Linked DNA regions of Cricetulus griseus. The protein of the gene in region 1 binds, or shares a complex with, the protein of each later gene. Links are inferred from orthologs where the notes say so. Each region holds a gene or a part of one and is shown on either strand. Other genes may lie near its edges.

Region 1 (3,650 bases):
TTATATATGGTCTTGTTGTATACGTGTGGTTGGCCTAGAATTCACTAATTCTGGCCATTGTCTGTACTGCTAAGATTGCAGGCATGTCCAACCATGTACATTACCTAGACAGAATTTTTAGCAGTTTTATGAACTGTGATTTTACCTGTGATAAAACAATTTAAATGTGCCCAGGAAAATATAGATTGTAGTGTTAATTTCATCTCCATTCCTTCCTTTTATTATGTCAGTTGCAGGAGGCAGGGCTTGGTGGCTGCTCTAGGCTGAAATATTTATTGTTTGCCACCTTCTGCATTTCTTTTCCATCATGAAGATAATGCCTAAGGCCAGCCTTTCCCAGTTCTCTCAATTATTCCTACAACAAGTAATTGCCTAGTGTGCACTTGTAATCAGCCCTTGTGAGGTGGAGGAAGGAAGACCAGAGGGCACCTGCTGACAAAGAGGCCTAACCTTAGTTCAAGCCTGAATTGATCCTCAAGATCCTTGTGAAAGGAGAGAATCGACTCCCTACAAGCTTTCCTCTGTCATCTACTTGCATTTATATACACACATGTAATTAAAAATTAAAAACAAACAGAATCAGGAATGGGCTAAGATTGTAGCTCTTTTGGTAGGTGCTTACCTGGGATCCAAGAAATCCTGGGTTCCATCTCCAGCCCCACATAACTCAATGTGATGGTTCACACCTGTACTTGCAGCATTTAGAAACGAAGGCAGAAGAATCAGGAGTTCAAGGCCATCCTCATTATGGAGTACATTTGAGGCTGAGCTAAAATACTAGAGACTTTTTTTTTTTTTCTTAGAAATTCCTGGGTAGTATAGCTGGCAAGTTTTCTGTGTGAGCCACCTGATTTCCCATGCTCAGGTAACTCTCATTAGTGGCCATCTCATGGATAGAAGCCAAATCTAGCTGGTTATTTTCATAGCTTAGCTGCTGGCCTTCCAGAGGTTTTAAGAACAAGGATAATAGGGGCTAGAGATCCCTCAGTGGTTAAGAACACTTGATGTTTTTGCAGAGAACCACATTCGGTTCCCAGCATCTACCTGGTGGCTGACTGTCACCTGTAACTCCCAATTTCAGGCATCTGCAGGCACTAGGCATGTATATGGTGCACATATGTGTATGCAAACAAAACATCCATATACATTATATAGATAAGAAATCAAAGGTAAGGAATCCTAGTCCTTATTTGTTGTTTTGGTTTCTTCTTGGCAATAGGAGAAGTTAAGGCTTCAAGGCCAAATAACAGAGGGAAGCAACATGATTAAAACAATTGCTTTTGGCCGCTATGAGCTGGATACTTGGTACCATTCTCCCTATCCTGAAGAATATGCACGACTGGGACGTCTCTACATGTGTGAATTCTGTTTAAAATACATGAAGAGCCAAACAATACTCCGCCGACACATGGTATGTTCTCTTGAGTTCCACTACTGTGACCATGGCCATGAGGGTGATGTTACTTGATTTCCCAATTATGTCCTAGAGATGACATAAGCGTACAAGAAATAACAGGTCCCAAGTGCCCATAGCAATGGAGTGGAGACTGAAGGAATTGAAAGTTACAATTCAGGTTTCCCTCCACCAGGACCAGTGCTGCTTGGCACCTTAACTACATCCTGTTCACATACATATTTTTTTTTCTTTTTCCTGTCTTTTGTTTCTTCCTCAGAATATGAATTACCTCTCCCTATAGTTTGTTTGTCCCAAATTCCAAGAAGATATGTATGTTTCATTAGATAAGACAGAAGAGTGTGGCTTATATTTTTGGTGGTGGGTATCTATGAAATGTGTGTTGAATGAATGCATGTATAAGGGAGATCCACTTTTAATGGATGATGAAAATAACAGAATTAATTGATAGTTTGTATCTCTGAATGTTCTTTGTATTAAAATAGGATGTACATACCTTGGTCTAGTAAATTAGGAGTATAAAAGCAAGACCAGAAAAGCAAACTTGTTCTCATTTCCATTGTGTCAGGTATAATCACTTGTAATCACTGAAATGACCTCTTTGGCTTGGCTAATGTTTTAAACAACTAGCTGTTGTGTTGGTTTGGCTATCATGGAAAGAACTAGCAGGAATAAGTGTAGCAGGGTTTTTTGGACTGCCAGTCCCCAAATCATGACACAGAGACTTATTAGTTATGAATGCTCGGCCTTAGTTTAGGCTTGTCCCACCAGTCTTATAACTTATTTTAACCTGTTTCTCTTCATCTCCGCTTTTGCCTCAGGGCTTTTTAGCTTTCATTCTGTATGTCCTACTTTTCCTGTTTTCTTCGTTTCTGGTTGACTGGTGGCTGGCCGGCCAGGCCCTGGTGTCTCCCTCTCTTTCTCCCTTGTTCTCTCTTCGGCCTAGATTCCTCCTCCTACTTATTCTCTCTGCCCACCAGCCCTGCCTATCCCTGTACTGCCTAGCTGTTGGTCCTTTAGCTTTTCATTAGGCCAATCACATGCCTTAGGCAGGCAAGGTAAAACAAATGCAACACATCTTTACGTAGTTAAACAGATATTCTGTTCCTCAACAACTAAGGGGAAGAGATAGGAGCATAGATGGATCTTTGAAAGAATTCCAGTTAATAAATTTTTTGAGTTACCTGCAAAAATTAGAACATGATAACAATGCCTTAAACACACTCATGCACACATTCAAGCATCTCTGTGCTAGGGAGGGAACACAGCCTCATACTTAGTGGGTAAGTAATGTACCATATACTGTACCACCGAGCTACATTCCCAAACCTGGAACATAATTCTTGGAGGGTGTGTATATGATTTTTGTTTGTTTCAGGTAGGGTCTTTAGCTCAGGCTAGTCTCAAACTTGTATCTGTTTTCCTATCTCTGTCTCTTGAGTACTGACACTACCAGTGTGGACCAACCAACCACTCTATCCAGTGCAACTTTATTCTTGACTTGTCAAAAAGATGTAGTATGTAGTAAATTGTTTAATTAGAATTTTTCTGTATGTGTGAACTTGTGTGTGCACATGTGCATACACACCATGGCATACATATGAAAATAAGAGAACGACTGTGGGAGTCAGTTCTCTTGCTGTGTTAGTTCTCAGAATTGATTTTGAGTCATCAGGCTTGGCAGCAAACACCTGTACCTGCTTGAAACCTTTCACTGGCAGTGTATGAGAACTTGGCTTGCTGCCTAAGATGCTGGGTACTAGCCCCAGCACCATTGATCAAACATTTTGAGAGTAAGAAAAGGGGGTTACTTTGGAGCTAAGTAGCTTCCTGCTACTTAGCCAGGCCTCCTACCTCTTAAAATGAGCCATGGAAGCGCTTTCTCTTTGTAACATATGGCAGGAGGTGGGCAGATAGTGAGTGGCTCATGGTCTTCATCATTGTAGATCTCTTTTGCAATCTGGTAGGATGGTAATGGGAAGTGACTGGTATAGGTGAGCATAACATACTTAGCAACACTAAGCTGCCAGAATAAGCTGCTTAAGAATTTCCTGTTGGCATGGGACATTTTATTGTAAGCAAGGATATTTTTATTTATCTGTCTTTTATGTTGTAGGTGATTTAATATCTTGGGCTGAGATAATGCCAAAAATAATCCAGAAAACTTGAGCCAAACAGCCATAGAAATGCCATAGATATATTGCAACAGCTAAGAAGGTTTTAACTTTTCTGAAAA
Region 2 (3,650 bases), about 42 Mb from region 1:
AGCAGGAAATCTAGAGGAATTCAACCAATATAGAGGCCCTGGAAGGTGTAAGGCCGCCAGGAAGTGGTCTGATTTGCATTTCAAGAACATTGCTGAGGGATGGTTTTACTGTCCCTATGAAAGGCTGGGGGATGGGCAGAACCAGGCTGTGAAGAGAGATGGTGTCAGTCACAAGGAAAGAGGAATGTAAATGTACCCATGGGTCAATTGTGGGTGGAGGCCAGAGAGCAAGTCGTGGGGATGACTCCAGTTTTCAGCCACCCCATCCCCTGCTGGCTGGCTTTGTCTCCCCTTGCTCCATTAGACTGTCCCCACAAGGCCTAGCTAGGCCTCCTGCTGGTCTTAGTTGTCCCTTTATCCAGGAGGCCTTGCACCCTTCTAGTCTTGGGTCAGGGCCACCTGGTCCTGGGAGTACCTCATCAGAATCTCTGCCTTGCTGGGTGGCAGGCTGTGTAAAGAAAGATCCCCTGACGGTGTTGCTTTCGGTAAATTCCTCCCAGACAGTAGATAGTCTCTGAGCCAGGCTGGCGTGCAGGGTGGTGCATCCACCCTGTTGATGCTTATAGGCTGAACTGGGTCTTCTAGAATCTTCTTCACAACGAGTCTCAGAAAGGAAAGAAGGAAGGCCATACCTGACAGAAATCTGGTCATACTCCCTTGAGCTAAGAAGAGGGGTCATGCCAAGAAGTGGGGGTTCTGAATTAAAGGCCACCCCAGGCAGCTTAAGGACAGAGAGACTTAACTAAGGAAGACCTTGGTGGGAATTGGATTCAAGCTGAACAGCTATGGTCAGAAACATCTATCACTGTTTCTGGAAAGTTCCATATGAACCTAAAGGAAATGCCAGACCAAGGGAGTGTCTCCGGCAGTGCCCTGGTCAGCCCAGGGGTCCATGGTTGGTAGTCTGCACGCAGGTGCAAAGGACCCCTTTAAAAGACAGACTGCCGCCCACTCCTGCTCTCTTTCCCACTGTTCCCCTGGAGCAGACAGGACTTTTCCTGTCTCCCTCTTCTCTCTCTGCCTGTGTCTCTTTACCTCTTTTCTCCCTTCCCCCTTCCCTTTCCAATAAAACTTCTCACTAAGCTCTGTCTTGTTATGATAATGCTCATGGGGAACCTTGTGCGGAGGACCTTGGCAGATTCCATGGCAGTGGAAGTTGACTTGGGTAGAGGGACAAACATGCCAGGCAAACAGAGCTTAGTGAGAAATTTTATTAGAAAGGGCAAGGGGTTGGGGAGGGAGAACAGAGAGAGGTAAAGAGACAGAGAGAGGACAGAGAAGAGGGAGACAGGAAAAGTCCTGTCTGCCTCAGGGGAACAGCAGGAGAGTGGAAAAAGAGAGCATAAGTGGGCGGGGTTATGTCTTTCAAAGGGGTCCTTTGCACCTGCATGCAGACTATGGAACCCTGGACTGACCAGGGTACTGCCTGAGTGCATTCTGCCAGGTGTCAGGGGACAGGCCTGTATAATGCCTGAGCCCTTACACCTGTTTCTGGAGAGCTCCATATGAGCCCAAAGGAAATGCCACACCAAGGGAGTGTCTCAAGGGCTGAAGCCTGGCCTTGGCCCCAGAAGTGTATGAGAGAACGGTACCGGGCACTGACAGGTAGGTCCGCCTCAGATGCTTCCAGATAGCCTGAAGAATGTGTGCCTGTCCTATAGACTAGGCCAGATGGCTTCAGAGACTGCTACCTTTGTAAAGTAAGGCATTGTGTCACTGTGGGTGCAGGAGCATTGCAGGAGTGGCAGGGACCTGGCCCAGGTCCTGATGTGGCAGGTAGTCTTGGGAAAGCTATTCTGCCTGTGCTCATTTGAAAGTCTAGTGCTGCTGGTGCCTTGGGGCTGGGCGTTAATGGTGCTTATATCTGAAGAGTTGCTTTGCTGGGAAAGGCAGCTGTTGGACAAGCTGAGAGGGTTGCCAAGGTGAGAGAGACCACACTGCCCGTACACTCAGGGTTTGGGAGTGAAGTCTCAAATGTCTTGGGCAGAGGGGAAGTGGCGTCGGCGGCCCGTGTTCAAAGCACTGCTTTCTCCAGCAACAAGGCCCCTACGGATGGCCGATGTGAGATGGGTGTCAGTGAGTAAGGTGAGAAATCTCTCTTGTGTCTCCTCAGGTTAGGAACCTGTGCTACATGGTGACAAGGCGCGAGAGGACGAAGCACACCATCTGCAAACTCCAGGAGCAGATTTTCCACCTGCAGATGAAGCTTATGGAGCAAGATCTGTGTCGAGGTAGGCACGGTACATTCCCTGCTGGGAAGGTGTGTCTGTGGGGCCTGGAAGGGCCTGGGTCCCTTCTCACCACCATTGCACTCATCAGGTCCATGTGGGAACCTGTCAATGCCCTGGAGCCAGAGTTTGGACTGTGGCTTTCGAGCCTGCCCTCGGTGGCACCACTGGTTCCCTGGGATCGCCCAGTGGCTTAGCTTGCACGAGGACAGGTGCAGATGATACAGTTTTCCTGGCTCTGCTGGGTGGGCTCAACACAGGCAGAAGCTGGCTGTCTTCCCTGAACCCTGGTGTGCCTGGGGCTCAATCCTCAGAAAGGCAACTGCACAGAGATGAGGCTGTGTGTTTCCCTCTCTCTGGTCTCACGTGACAAAATTAAGCTGTGTTTTCTTTGTCCTCTTTCAGTCTCTGGCTATAACATGCATTTAGCACATCTAGAAATCAGGGGCAAAGGTCTTGACATTGATTGCATTGGATAGTTACGAAGGAGGACACGCTTGGCACCCCACATACAGATGCCATCACGCTCAGATGTTCAACATATGCAGCAGAAATGGATAGGTAGATAGAGCTTTGGAGATGTGGGCTGCCACTGCCCACTCAGCCTGTGGGTCATTCTGGGACTTGGGTGGAGGAGGAGGAGAGCTGTTGGGGGCACCATTAGAGGGAATGACTGCCGCCTTCTCTGCCAGTAGCTGAATTGCTCCTTTTACCCTTTGGGATTACCAGATGTGGTGGAGCATACCTGTGAACCCAGTGTGCAAGAGGTTGAGTTCAGGGTCAGCCGGTGCTACATCATGAGCTCCTTTCTTTTAAAAGAAATTTAAGCCAGGCATTGGTGGTGCTCATTTTCATCCCAGCACTCGGGAGGCAGAGGCAGGTGGATCTCTGTGAGTTCAAGACGAGCCTGGTCTACAAGAGCTAGTTCCAGGACAGCCTCCAAAGCCACAGAGAAACCCTGTCTCGAAAAACCAATAATAATTATAATAATAATAATAATAATAAAAGAAAGAAATTTTTAAAAAGGGGAAGAGAAGTTGGAGAGATGGCTCAGGAAGGGGTTAAGAGCACTGGCTGTTCTTTGAGAGGATCTGGATTCAATTGGTGGCACCCACATGGTGGCTCTCAACTGTCTGTACCTCCAGTTCCAAGGAATCTAGTGCCCTCTTCTGGCCCCTTAGGGGCTGGGACTATCGCTTATTTGATAGGGTGCTTGCCTAACATGCATGAATCCCTGGGTTTGATCCTCAGCACTACATAGAACCAGATGTTCTGGTGTACATCTGTAATCCTAGCACTTGGGAGGTAGAGGCAGAAGGATCGGGAGTTTTGGGTCATCCACAGCCACATAGCAGGTTCAAGACCATCCCTGACTAGGTAACAACTATTTTCTTTTGTTGTTTTTGGTTTTTCAAGACAAGG

Evidence for each region.
Region 2: Kat7 (region 1) and Jade2 share a complex: the UniProt entries of both Homo sapiens proteins name them as parts of the HBO1 complex. The link is inferred for Cricetulus griseus from reciprocal best matches to the Homo sapiens genes KAT7 and JADE2.

Annotation. Positions count from the first base shown.
Region 1 is NC_048600.1:108,461,441-108,465,090, reverse strand, and holds part of Kat7 (histone acetyltransferase KAT7), read left to right. Parts: intron 1-1,219; coding exon 1,220-1,411; intron 1,412-3,650. UniProt on the Homo sapiens protein: Catalytic subunit of histone acetyltransferase HBO1 complexes, which specifically mediate acetylation of histone H3 at 'Lys-14' (H3K14ac), thereby regulating various processes, such as gene transcription, protein ubiquitination, immune regulation, stem cell pluripotent and self-renewal maintenance and embryonic development.
Region 2 is NC_048600.1:66,088,656-66,092,305, reverse strand, and holds part of Jade2 (E3 ubiquitin-protein ligase Jade-2), read left to right. Parts: intron 1-2,113; coding exon 2,114-2,231; intron 2,232-3,650. UniProt on the Homo sapiens protein: Scaffold subunit of some HBO1 complexes, which have a histone H4 acetyltransferase activity. Acts as an E3 ubiquitin-protein ligase mediating the ubiquitination and subsequent proteasomal degradation of target protein histone demethylase KDM1A.